Drosophila melanogaster: one gene and its partners. The protein of the gene in region 1 interacts with the protein of each later gene in a pairwise test. Each region holds a gene or a part of one and is shown on either strand. Other genes may lie near its edges.

Region 1 (4,376 bases):
TAAAATCAGACTTGCTGTTGTTTAGAAAATGTTATGCATTGCCTTAGGAGCGCGTTTTGAGCAAATCTCGATACCAGTTGGGCAGGATTTGATGTTCCGGACCGCGCAGCACTTCGTAGCTGGCGTGCTTATTTAAAAAAGTCACCTGGACCACCGCAAACGGATCGTTAATGTTCACCAGCAGCTTCTTAAGATTGCGCAGAAACTGTTCCAGGTACCAAGCCATTGCCGATGCACTCCACGGTTTGTTGCGGGCCAGTGTTGCCACATCGATCTCATCGATCCTCTGCAGCATGCCCTTGGTGTCGCGGAGTCCCACGTAGAGCGTAGTGATGCCCACCAGGAATGACTGACTCCACCAGTTGGCAGACTTGAACGATTTGAAGGTGCGAATTTGGTGAGGGTTCATATTGAAGACGCTGGTCTTTAGCTCTACGAATTTCAATGAGTCGAGCACTCTGCAATCTTTGAAGTCACTAATGGGATTCGTGTAAGTGTATACACAAATAATGAATGGATGGAACATTAATCATTCATAAGTATTTAAACCCTGGACCACTCACACTGGCTCCTTGCTGTCCACACAGTCCAGTTCGGCGCCGTATAGCATCAAAATCCCGGCCAGGTTCGTGCGGTACACGCCCATGAACTCCTCTGCCTCGTTGACCGGCACATTGGTCACCGGTTTTCCCTGCGCCTGGGCACTGGTCAGGTACTGCTCGAACTTGAAGCCCCAGGAGCACATGACCCGCTGTGCCCTGCTCATGTTCGCGTTCTCCAGCTGCTGCTCTGGGGTTTCCTCCTTGCACATGTAGACGTTGCCGTTCAGGAGCGTCGCCTTGACGCGGAATGAGCGATTATCATACTGCAGGCACATTATCTGCCGCAAAATACCGCGCAGTGTTACAAAGTCGCTGTCCAGGCGTAGATTTCTCGCATCGGAGCTACTCTGACGGAGCAGCTCCTTCTGGTGTTGCTTAATGTAGGTCAGCATAATTTCCAGATCCCGTTTGCCGTTCTCGACGGGCTTACGGATCACATCCTCTATACCCCCGTTAAGATCGAACGGCAGCGGTGGCCACGGTTGGCCAGCCAAGTAGCTGGCGCAGCTGGCGTCGTCCACAAATTCCCGGCTAGCGTTTATGCTGCACACACCGATGCACTTCGGGCGGCTTATCGAGGGAAACGGCGTATTGTACATCGCGCCCAGCTTGTGCTGCCCCCAGGGCACACTGATGAAGCCCGCGTTCTCGGCCATTTCCTTCGCCTCCGCGGATTTTCCAAGTTCAAACTATAATTATCCGGAAAATAACGCTAATATTTATTAGAGGTGGAGAAAAATCGCAAACATCGATGTTTTTCGAGGAATCATCGATTATTTTCTTTCTCCACTGCGCAACTAAATGGGCTAAGACCTTGGGAAATGGTTGTGGTGAGAATCAAGTGTAGGCGATTAGTATCGAAAGCTAAATTGTATTAAAAATGGGATGATGATGTGCTTATTAATTTTAATGTAATAAGTGAACGCTAATGATGATAGTACCTCGATGAAGAGAAAAAATTTTGACTCTTAGATTTGCTTTATGTTCTGTTTGAGCACGTCTATTCACCACGAGGTATTTGCAAGCTTAAATCAAACAATTTGTGTGACCACAGTCATGGGAATCTAAGAATATACTAAATACCAAAATAACACGAAATCCGATTCGGTTTTGTTCATAGATTTGTTTTTATGTTTATTTGTAACCACCAAACGTGGCTGGCCAATGAAGCATCTCCTGGAGGATCCCTCGGTCCTGGCCGAGCTGCAGGTGCTGCCGGATAAGACCGGTGGTGTACAGGATCGACAGGAGGCCGCCAAGAATCCTGCAGAGAATTCCGTGCCCGACGAAGATTTGCCGGCTGCAGGAGGCGATTTGCTACGCGTTAAGGATACTCTGGGCCAGCTGGCCTGCAGTCTGCACAAGCTGTCCAAAAACGATCACATAGTCATCGATCGGTGGGTAGTAATCCCTATTTTTTGGAGCTTTCATTCACCTTCTCTGATCACGTTCCGTGATCTTTTATTCCTGTGCAGAAAGCGCCATCAGGTGATTCGCACAGATGCGGCTACGCAACAATTAACGATTTACCGCTGTCCGGATCCCGCCGTCATGGGGATTCGCCCGGCGATAGAGAAAAATGCCCAGAATCCGCCTGCCAAAGTGGGTAGACCATCGAAAAGAGCCTGTTCGGTTGCCACCGCTCCTGTGGCGAAGAAACCAACACTAGCGGAGCAAAAACCTGCTCCCGACACCCATCGCACTAGATCCGGTCGCCAGGTGCGCAGCTTGATGCCACAGCCCGCTCCCGTGACCAGTGGCTCAGCGGTTGAGCCAAGTTCTGCCCGCATGCTTGAGATGCTGGTGGCCGACTTGCGGGACAAGGACTACCGGGCACCCATGGCAGCGCCGAAAAGCACGAGTGTCAGCAGCAGCGTCAGTATAAGCCAGGAACCGACCACAACGACAACCATCCAACGAGCCGTGCCCAAAAATGCCGTTTGTCCCGGCTGTGGAAAGATCTTTTTGGGACGCCGTCTGCAGCGTCACTTTGTCAAATTCCCAGAGCACATGCCGCGTCCGGGCGAGCAGACACCACCTGTAGCTGTAGCTACAGTACCATCAACGGTTCATCCTCCCTCCACGCCGTCGCTGTTCGGCCTTCTGACCGCCCAACTGCAGCGGCATTCCCATCTCAGCGAGGAACAGCGCTCTGATCTCTTTCTTAACGAACTTAACGACTTTGTGGAGCAGCTGCAATTGCGCAGCCAACGGCTTATACGGAATACCTCTGGACTGCATTTTGTAAATGCACGAATTGCACGAGTTTTGGGCATACCCGAGGGTCAGTATGCGTTGGATATGTCCGCCATGGAGTCGCCGCTGGCACCGATGCCGGAATCAGAGGGAGCGGCCTTGGTTGCCGGCAGCGGTAGTGAAGGAGCCCGCAATCTGGTGGTCTACGCAGAGTTGAGCATGTCGCTGGACGATCCGCTCACAGACGAGGCTGCACAGCGTCTCAATCTATCGGCGGGCGGTCAACTTCATCCGCCTTCCGAGGAGAGTCTGCTTAGAAACGTCAGCGATCTTATGCAGCCGCCAGTGGCAACTGCTCCTCCGACTGTGAACCATGGCTACGATCATGCCAGCGATAATGCCGTGGAGGCCCTGACCATGAAGGAAACGCCCAACACAGAGGCTATTCTCGATCTCAACGTGGACTTCTTCCAGTTCAATCCGAATTAGAAGGGACAAATGTATAGAAAGCGCTTAGCTAGCAATGGAGATGAAGAATTCTATGATAGAGTGAAAGGTATTTCAACTACTTTTTAACTTGAACACTGAAAAGGTTCTAAAATATGAAAGTTTAAAACATTTATTTTATTTATCGTGCATATTGCATGAAGAAAGTCTCTGAAAATTGAAACGAACTTTTCTAAGTAGATTAAAATGTATTAATGGAGTATGTAAATATAGAAATAGGGATCTCTTAGATACATTTTGGTATTGTATTTTGAATTTTTACTGAATATTAATATTGAAATTGTATAATTTGAAAAGTAACCTCATATAACCTCCAGCCAAAAATCTATGCAATTAGTACGCAAATGTAAATGGTTGAGTGGCAAAAATGCCGCATGCGGATGGAGATTATTTATGAAGTACTTAACTGGCTAACGAAAGATGCCTATTAAATGAATTTATCTTCCTTGATTTTTGAAATTGTTGCGTTATTATTTGCTGGAACATTTGGAAGTGAATAAAAATCCTGGCCAATTTAGTTTAATGTATATATGCTTGTGGTTTCTAGCAGCTTTTCATACTTTTCATTTGTGTTTACTGCAAGTCAATTAAATTGATCGCAATTTTAATGGCGTTCAGCTAAATGGTAAATTTCTGTGAAAAATTATTATTGCTTTTAGTACAAAGCTGCTGCTTAAATAAATCCCTTTCAATACCTGTGTGTATTACAATATCTAGAATATCTTTATTGAAAAGCGTGCGTGTATCTATGTTTACTTTCAGGTGTAAAGTTTATTTGCCACGATGTAATCATATTTTCTGGCCATCCACTTGATTTTCAAAATACGTGGAGGATGGCAAGGGGGTGGCTAAAATCAATTTGGCAGTTATCACTGCAAATGGACGACCGTGTTTGCCTTGGTTCAATATGATTAAAGCTGATGACCGCCATGGAATTGCACCTAAAAGTGCAGTCAGAAAGTGACCTATAAATAGCGGAGATTCAAAGAAGTGCGGACGTAGTGCATTATGAGGACGTTGACGGAAAGCAGGCGGCGCCAAAGTGGCTCCTCCGGGTGCAAAAAGGACTCC
Region 2 (3,305 bases), on another chromosome or scaffold:
GCAATGAATAATCCATCAATATATTTAATGAACTGCTTTAATTTTAATTACATTTTTAACAAATTTTCAACGCCTAGCTCCTGGAAAATGACAATGTGAAAAGCCGTGCGGCCAGTGTGTCCACTCCAAGGAATGTTTAATAAGAACATCAGTGTTGATCAAAATACTGTTGAAAACTTACTGGAGCATATGTAATTAATATATAAAATTCAGTTAAAGCTCAAGTCACGTGTTCTTAACATTTAGTAAAAATAGAAATTTATACTAAAGGTTTTGGTAAATTTGAGCCTTAAAATTTTGGTTAAGTTTAGCCTTAAAATGGCAGTTAAACATAAAAAGTTTAAATTCCTATAAAAAGACGTACCAGTGTTGTACAACAGGCTTAATTTACAAACTTCCAAATACAAATGTAATTATACATATTTATGTAAAGTCAAGCCATCACAATTTAATTCCACCTTTGGAAATGTTTTTATATATTGGGTGTTCGTTTTTATTGAACTTGACATGCTTATGACTAAATAGTTAAGGAAACTGGAATTGGAATAAATACAGCTCGACCAAAAACACAAGCCACAATTATGCAATAAATTCAATCCTTTAATGTGACATATAGTTAACTTATTCGAGTACTCTTTCTTAGACATATGTGGGCTATAAACATTGTAAAATCTCTACTGCATTCGATTGGGAAACATAAACCACAAGACATGGGCGGAAATAGCCTATTCCTGGCTGATTTCATTGGCATCTGAGAAATCCGAGACGGCGACGCTGCTGGTGCTGATTAAATGTCGATCGGGCATTTCGCCGATGGAAGGAAGAGTGGTGCTATCGCTGGCGCTGGACAAAGATATCTCCTCCCAGCTGACGCCGGAGTCGCATTCGTTGCCCGGGGAAACGGGTGTGGCGTCGGCATTGTGCGGCTCATCCTCCGGTGCCTGGCCAATGCTGATAGCCGGCGTTGCTCTGGAACGTTTGCCAACTAGTTCGACGTTTTGATTGCGATCCGCAGCAATGCGCTTGCGATCGGGAATTTGATTGCCCGTGGTGGGACTCCAGTCCATGGCACGGTGCACCAAAGCCCGAAAAGTTATACGGATCGGCTCGCTCGGTGGACTGTCCATGTCTGAGGGATTTCTTCTGGACACTTGCGGCGACATGATCATCGTGGAGTTGTGCAAAGCACTGGGATGCGAAGTCAAAAAATCAGACTCGCTCTCCTGTCGACATTAATGAGAAGCTAATTACTATTTATTGTTTATTGTTAACTGAATACTTTTCCCACGTGCAGAGCCCTTTCTAGATCCTCATCCTGGGGACTGATACTAGCTGATTGCTGCACGACACTTGCTAATTCGGTCATTTCCTCAATATCCATGCCTTCCTCGTAAACGCCTGCGCCTGAGCAAATAGTTAGTTATATATGTATGTATGTTAAGGACGTCTAATTTAGAATATCTTACTTTTGAGGAAGTCAACTAATCTCCTGTTTGTTCGGCTGCGTAACTCCATTTTCAATGGGACAAAAACAACAACTTTAGTACTAATATTATGTGGTTACAATGCATTTGCTCTTGTTCTTGCTGCTAACGGAACTTTTCGCCAAACTGAAATCGTCTATAACGCCATATCGATAGTTAAGATGTGATCTCAAGTAATGGTCACACTTAGAGATGGTGCAACAAGTTTTCGAGTTGTATGTGAAAATATTAAAAACTATTTAAAAAAAAAAAAAAACGATAAGGCTCTGAAAATGTTGTGGTTATTATAAAGTGATATAAGTGATTAAGTTCTATAATGTAACTTGATAAAATTGTATATGTTTTCCTCGTAATTTAAGTCCAGTCTTTTAATTACCTCAACAAAAAGCCTTTAAACTTCGTTTGGTATTACACTTAAAAAACAATTTATGGGTAAAAAGCTGGGCTCCAAAATGGCGAAGTTTTAACACCAGCTCTGCGAAGTTGAAATGCATCGTGAAAAAAGTAAATACTTTGCGAACTTTTTGTGTGGTCAACCTGCTGACCAAAGTTGCAGCTTTCACTACCCACAACGCTGGCAATTGTTTTTCTAATTTAAGTAAAAAAATATGCGTCTCTTTGCATTTCGTTTGCATGCCCAGCCACCTGCGAGTTTTCTGGCCCCCTGAACACGCCCCTTTCACTTTTTACATACATACCTCGGACCCCATCGTTGCATCCCAAAACGAAAAGCGAGTTGAAATTCAACAAAATGTCAAAATGCCACTTGAAGTCAGTTTGCCATTTTCGCTGCCATGGAGCGCCTTTTCGACCCGAAAATTGTTCTTTCTGTGGGGCAGTTTTCAGCTCGACTTTGTCCCCATGGAAAGTCATAATACCCTGAATATTTTGAGATCATACACGGACTGGGGTGCTTCAGAAATATGCAGGCTTATGAAAACCTATTTAATAGCATTCGTAAATTTTTCGTGCCTTAATTTAGATAGGTTAAAAAAAGAATTTACGTTACATGTGTACCTTGTTAAGTTTTTTAAAAAACAAAAATATATAATTTATTATATTCCATATATTTACATATTTTATACAATTTATTTTGGTTTTTCATATTTTTCAAGGTATTTACATTATTTTCTTGTTATATTTTGGGCATAACTTTTTTCCTGATACTATTTTCTATATAACCAAATTATTTTGCTGGTTAAAACCAGCGACACCAAAAATAAAAGCACAAAAAATAGGAAAAGTTTCGATGTCGTCGCGTTGGCGAGCATTGCTTCTTTTGCATAGGAGTCGCCATTGAGTCCCAACTGCATTTGGCTTTACTTTCCCCTCGCCGTCGACCCACCCAAACCTCAGTTTTAGTGGCACGTCAAAGGCAAATAAATAAAAAAAAGAATGAAAAAAAAAAAAATTGAGAATAGAAGAAAAACCTGGACCAAAGCCGTTTGTGTTAGCCCGCATTTTGTACAGTTTTTGGCTGGCATTTAAAGTCCGTTCAATTACCGCGAAACACGTTTGACAGGGCAACAAAAAATAAAATAAAACGTCGACTTGAATTATTTGCGTTAGCTAAGGTAACGAGTTTAAGCGTTCTGAGTGGCGAAAATGTATTCAAATTTTATGCGTTCCTTTAACCCTTTAATGCCCCACCCCTTTTCGCAGGCAGTGAAGCAGCTAACACTTATTGGATTAGCAAATATGTGCCGCTGTCGATTTGCTTTTAGTGGCTCCGTTTTATGTTTTCATTATGGTGGGGGACTAAAGGATTTTCGCCATTAACTTTTGCTCGCCAGCTTTCCGGCACATTAGGCAGCCATTATT
Region 3 (4,854 bases), on another chromosome or scaffold:
GTCCGCACTGGAGAGTGCCACCCAGCGGCTGCAGGTGGAGCTGCCCGCCGCCAGCAAAAAGTATCTGAGAGAGACGTGCAGCGGTAGGTAGACTCTTATGTCACAGATATGAAATGGTTGGCTAAGGTTACCTTACTTCCGTGTAATTATCAGCCAACTCCAGTCCGAAATTGTTTCCCGGCCACAGTGCCCTGCGCCTGGATAATCTCAGCCTAGCCGAGCAGCAGGAGCTTAAGGGAGCCGCCTGGTTTCAAGCGGGCATTCCCAGGGAAATATCCCTGGAGGCCCTGTCCCGACAGAGTCCAGGTGCGTTTCTAGTGCGCCAGAGCAGCACAAAGCCGGGATGTTTCGCCCTCTCGCTGCGAGTGCCACCACCTTCACCACGAGTGGCCCACTATCTGATCCTGCGGACGCAAAGGGGCTACAAGATAAAGGTAAGTCCGAGCACATTATATATAATATTTATTATATATTATGATGGTATTTACCATTTTAGGGCTTCACCAAGGAGTTCAGTTCGCTGAAGGCGCTGATCACGCACCACTCGGTGATGCCGGAACTGTTGCCCGTGCCGCTGACCCTGCCACGCCCACCTAGTACCCGATCGCAACGATCGCAGGGCGCCTACGCAGGCGGAACCGGAAACGGGGGAGCGGACTTCGAGATGTATGGCTCGCTGAACGACTTTCGCAAAATGATGGCCGATTTGAATGTGTGACCGCTGGGCGCTCTTAATTAATTAAGTAATTATGTCACGTTGATTGAATTAAGCTGCCCAGCTTGTCACATTGTCCTGCGTCCTGTGTCCTCTGTCGCGACAGGATAACAATCTGTTTAATTTGCGTAATTGGCTGTGCTGACGACGGTTGACGTGGCTACCAATAAATAGGGTCCATGTCCATGTGTACTCGGGCCGGCAAAGGCCCACCTGTCCGACAGGTGCTGCAAAAAGTGCACAAACATTTTTTATTAAAATTGATAATAAAATCAGCTACGTGGGCGGCTGCGATGGCTGTGGTTTCGCAGGGGCGTGTTTGCATACACAAATATAGGGAATACGCTCAAATCATTTTTGCGAAACTGATTAAAAAATGGCAAAAACATGCAATATGTATACGCAAACAGACATCAAGTGATTATTATTTTTCGCGTTTTTATCAATTCTGCTCGTTTTGTACGGCTAGTGCTGAGTGGCAGATGCATCAGACAGACGTACTATACATATCTGAATGGGGGCAGTCGGATTAAATGTTAATGTTTGGGTAGGGAAATCGAGGGTCGGCTGCCGGGATTTGGAGTGCGGATGCGGAATGGGCAAAGTGGATTCTTTTTGTATTTGATGCACTCACTTTGCGGTGCAGTGGCTAGATAGACTTATATGGGAAGTAAATGAATAACCAATTATATTGTAACTCTATGTATTTTGTAATAAAGTTAATGGAAAACCTTTTCAAATAGTATTGTTTATTTTCTGATCTATAGCATGCAATATACATACAATCACGTTGAAAATGAAGCATTGGCTTAAAGGTAGAACATTTTATAATATTTAACAACAAATTTGTTTTGAAATAATGTGAGTGGGTAAGGAAAGTTTAAATTTCCCGCACATTATCGATAGCTCTTTCGATAGAATCGGTCGGCAATCGGCTCGCAAACTCGCTAGAGAACTGTTAACCAACTGTCATAGTTTGAGTTCACGCTACGCTCCATTCTAAAAGTTATCAATATCTCGAAATAAATAAACTGTGGGTTATAGCAGGCTTTGTTTTATTATTTGCAATTAGGAACAGTGCAAAGATAACAAAGATGTACTAACAATTGGTCAATAGGCGCAGAAGCGACCCTGAAATTGGAGTGTGACCTCGCTAATAGCCAGATGCGGCGGGGAATTCGCCAAGCCCGCAACACTGTACCCTGAAGGCCAGCTGCCGCCGCTTCCCGCGCATTTTCTTCGACCCAGGTAGGTCGCATTGGGATTCGCTTGCATTTGGTGTTTTCACTCGCCTCCAAACCGCCGTAGCAACACCATCTAGACAACGTGGAACTCCCGCTGAACCAGAGACCGGCATTATTTCCATTGTGAGTGTGAGCAGAACTAAGCTGCATCACCGGCGTCCCTAACCTTATATATATTTCTTACACACACACACAAACGCACTATTTCCAGTTTCGGTGACAAAAAATTGTGAAAATACAAGCTAAAATGCCGCGCAGAAAGGCCCTGACTAATAACAACAATGCCGGCGAAGCGGAGCAGCAGCCACCGAAGGCGAAGCGCGCCAGAATCGCTTTTCATCTGGAGCTGCCCAAGCGGAGGACCGTGCTCGGCAACGTGCTAGTCTGCGGCAACGGCGATGTGGGCCAACTTGGTCTCGGCGAGGACATACTGGAGCGCAAGCGTCTCAGCCCTGTGGCGGGCATCCCGGATGCCGTGGACATATCCGCCGGTGGCATGCACAACCTGGTGCTGACCAAGTCAGGGGACATTTACTCATTCGGTTGCAATGACGAAGGTGCTCTAGGCCGTGACACCAGCGAGGATGGCAGCGAGTCAAAGCCGGATCTTATCGATTTGCCCGGCAAGGCTCTGTGCATTTCGGCGGGAGACTCGCATTCCGCTTGTCTGCTGGAGGATGGCCGTGTCTTCGCTTGGGGCTCGTTCCGGGACTCTCATGGCAACATGGGCCTCACCATCGATGGTAACAAGCGTACGCCCATCGATCTGATGGAGGGCACTGTCTGTTGTAGCATCGCGTCCGGCGCCGATCATTTGGTCATCCTGACCACTGCCGGAAAGGTCTTTACCGTGGGCTGCGCTGAGCAGGGACAACTCGGCCGGCTGTCGGAGCGTTCCATCTCCGGAGAGGGTAAGTCTTGGCATTCAAATTTTCAACGAAATTCGTATTAAAAAAATGTTAACCCCCAGGTCGTCGTGGCAAACGCGACTTGCTGCGGCCCACCCAGCTCATCATCACGCGGGCCAAACCTTTTGAGGCCATCTGGGCCACCAACTACTGCACATTCATGCGCGAGTCACAGACACAGGTCATCTGGGCCACAGGGCTTAACAACTTCAAGCAGCTGGCCCACGAGACAAAGGGCAAGGAGTTCGCACTGACGCCCATCAAGACGGAACTCAAAGATATCCGACATATTGCCGGCGGTCAGCACCATACTGTCATCCTGACAACGGACCTTAAGTGTTCCGTAGTGGGTCGTCCGGAGTACGGTCGGCTTGGTCTGGGCGATGTCAAGGATGTTGTGGAGAAGCCAACGATTGTAAAGAAGCTGACCGAAAAGATTGTGTCCGTTGGATGTGGCGAAGTCTGTTCCTATGCCGTTACAATTGATGGCAAACTGTATTCCTGGGGCTCCGGTGTCAACAATCAACTAGGCGTTGGCGACGGCGATGATGAGCTCGAACCGATCGTGGTTGTCAGCAAGAACACGCAGGGGAAGCACATGCTGCTCGCATCTGGCGGTGGTCAGCACGCAATCTTTTTGGTCAAAGCGGACAAACAGGACCAGAAGGAGAATGTTCCAGTGAAGGTGTCTGGCAGCAGCAGCATCAGTAAAAAGGACAAGACCCCGCCGCAGGATAATGTCGACAAGGAAGCCGAGAATGTAGATAAGCAGGAGCAGAAGGAAAACTTGCCGGCGAAGGCGTCAACCAGCAGCAAAAAGAACAAGACGCCGCCGCAGGATAATGCCGACAAGGAAGCCGAGAATGTAGATAAGCAGGAGCAGAAGGAAAACTTGCCGGCGAAGGCGTCAACCAGCAGCAAAAAGATTAAGACGCCGCCGCAGGATGATGCCGCCGAGGAGGTCGAAGAGGAGTCTGCTCAGGAACCGACTCCCAAGAAGGCCAAGAAGCCTGCTGCCAAGCGGGGCGGTAAAAAGACATAAGATTGAGTATAAATACGCTGACTTTCCCACTTTGTTTTTGGTAACACTAAGTTACGAACCCGTACGCTTACCCTACGCTTAAGGAAGGCAATGAGTAGCCCAGATTCGTAAGATAGATCGGAAATTTTGCTTATTGTACGTTAAGATCTACGAACTGAATCCTGTTAAGTTCTTTTTATTTTGATAAATAGATGCCCGCTTATATCTTACAAGTCTGCCTAAAGACGAAAACTTCTTTATCAATCCAACTAAGTGTTTATTATATATATTCGTTCGCAATACGAAGCCGTAGTAAATTTGTATTTGAACGCAAAAGGAAACTAAATGAGATTTATTTACAAACTAATTAACTTGATTATATCATACACAAAGATATACATCCTACTCACAGTGTATTATAAATTCTTGGCTCAGGCGGGGCAAATGGGAGATTACCGGCAAAAAAGCTACAAAAGATTGGGAGATTGTCTCGTAAGCGCGAGACATCATTTACTCAATAATATCAGGAAACACGAAATTGTTACTCTTATGGTAGGTCTTAAGATTTATACAAAAATATGTATTTGCTTGGAGGGTGGTTCGATTTGCAATGAAGGGAAACATCTTAAAATTACCTTTAAAAGCAAAGGTGTCTAAACAATTCGCAGGACCCGGGAATTCATGAATGCAAGCCATTGAAGTATGTAAGAAGGCTTTAATATTTGTAGTTTTCATACCTGGCAAGGGTCAAAATGGATTATTACGTGTACAGAGGTGAACAAGTTGCATTTACTGCTGAACAAATCGAACCACCCTGGCATGCACAGTTGAGGGTTTTGGCTTCACTACGAGTAGTAACACGGCTGACGATTGCCTCTGCCTGAGTCGACTGTGGCTAGGGAGGTGGTTATGGTAGTGGTGGTGGAGTTTCCGCCGTAGTTGCTTCCCAGGTAGAAGCTCACGAAC

Evidence for each region.
Region 2: the proteins of CG13005 (region 1) and CG14931 interact in a two-hybrid assay, tested with the Drosophila melanogaster proteins (one large-scale study listed by BioGRID).
Region 3: the proteins of CG13005 (region 1) and Rcc1 interact in a two-hybrid assay, tested with the Drosophila melanogaster proteins (one large-scale study listed by BioGRID).

Annotation. Positions count from the first base shown.
Region 1 is NC_004354.4:16,801,994-16,806,369, forward strand, and holds CG13005 (uncharacterized protein), read left to right. Parts: upstream 1-1,656; 5' UTR 1,657-1,766; coding exon 1,767-1,999; intron 2,000-2,077; coding exon 2,078-3,287; 3' UTR 3,288-3,761; downstream 3,762-4,376. Other genes in the region: Rai1 (Rat1 interacting protein 1), read right to left, coding at 44-476, 564-1,258; ppk28 (pickpocket 28), read left to right, coding at 4,314-4,376.
Region 2 is NT_033779.5:11,786,752-11,790,056, reverse strand, and holds CG14931 (uncharacterized protein), read right to left. Parts: upstream 1,724-3,305; 5' UTR 1,516-1,723; coding exon 1,467-1,515; intron 1,405-1,466; coding exon 1,280-1,404; intron 1,224-1,279; coding exon 726-1,223; 3' UTR 582-725; downstream 1-581. Other genes in the region: CG14932 (uncharacterized protein), read right to left, coding at 52-53.
Region 3 is NT_037436.4:5,929,634-5,934,487, reverse strand, and holds Rcc1 (regulator of chromosome condensation 1), read left to right. Parts: upstream 1-1,714; 5' UTR 1,715-2,082; intron 2,083-2,170; 5' UTR 2,171-2,206; coding exon 2,207-2,870; intron 2,871-2,929; coding exon 2,930-3,909; 3' UTR 3,910-4,226; downstream 4,227-4,854. Other genes in the region: Egfrap (EGFR adaptor protein), read left to right, coding at 1-83, 154-434, 497-718. UniProt on the Drosophila melanogaster protein: Promotes the exchange of Ran-bound GDP by GTP. Involved in the regulation of onset of chromosome condensation in the S phase. Binds to chromatin.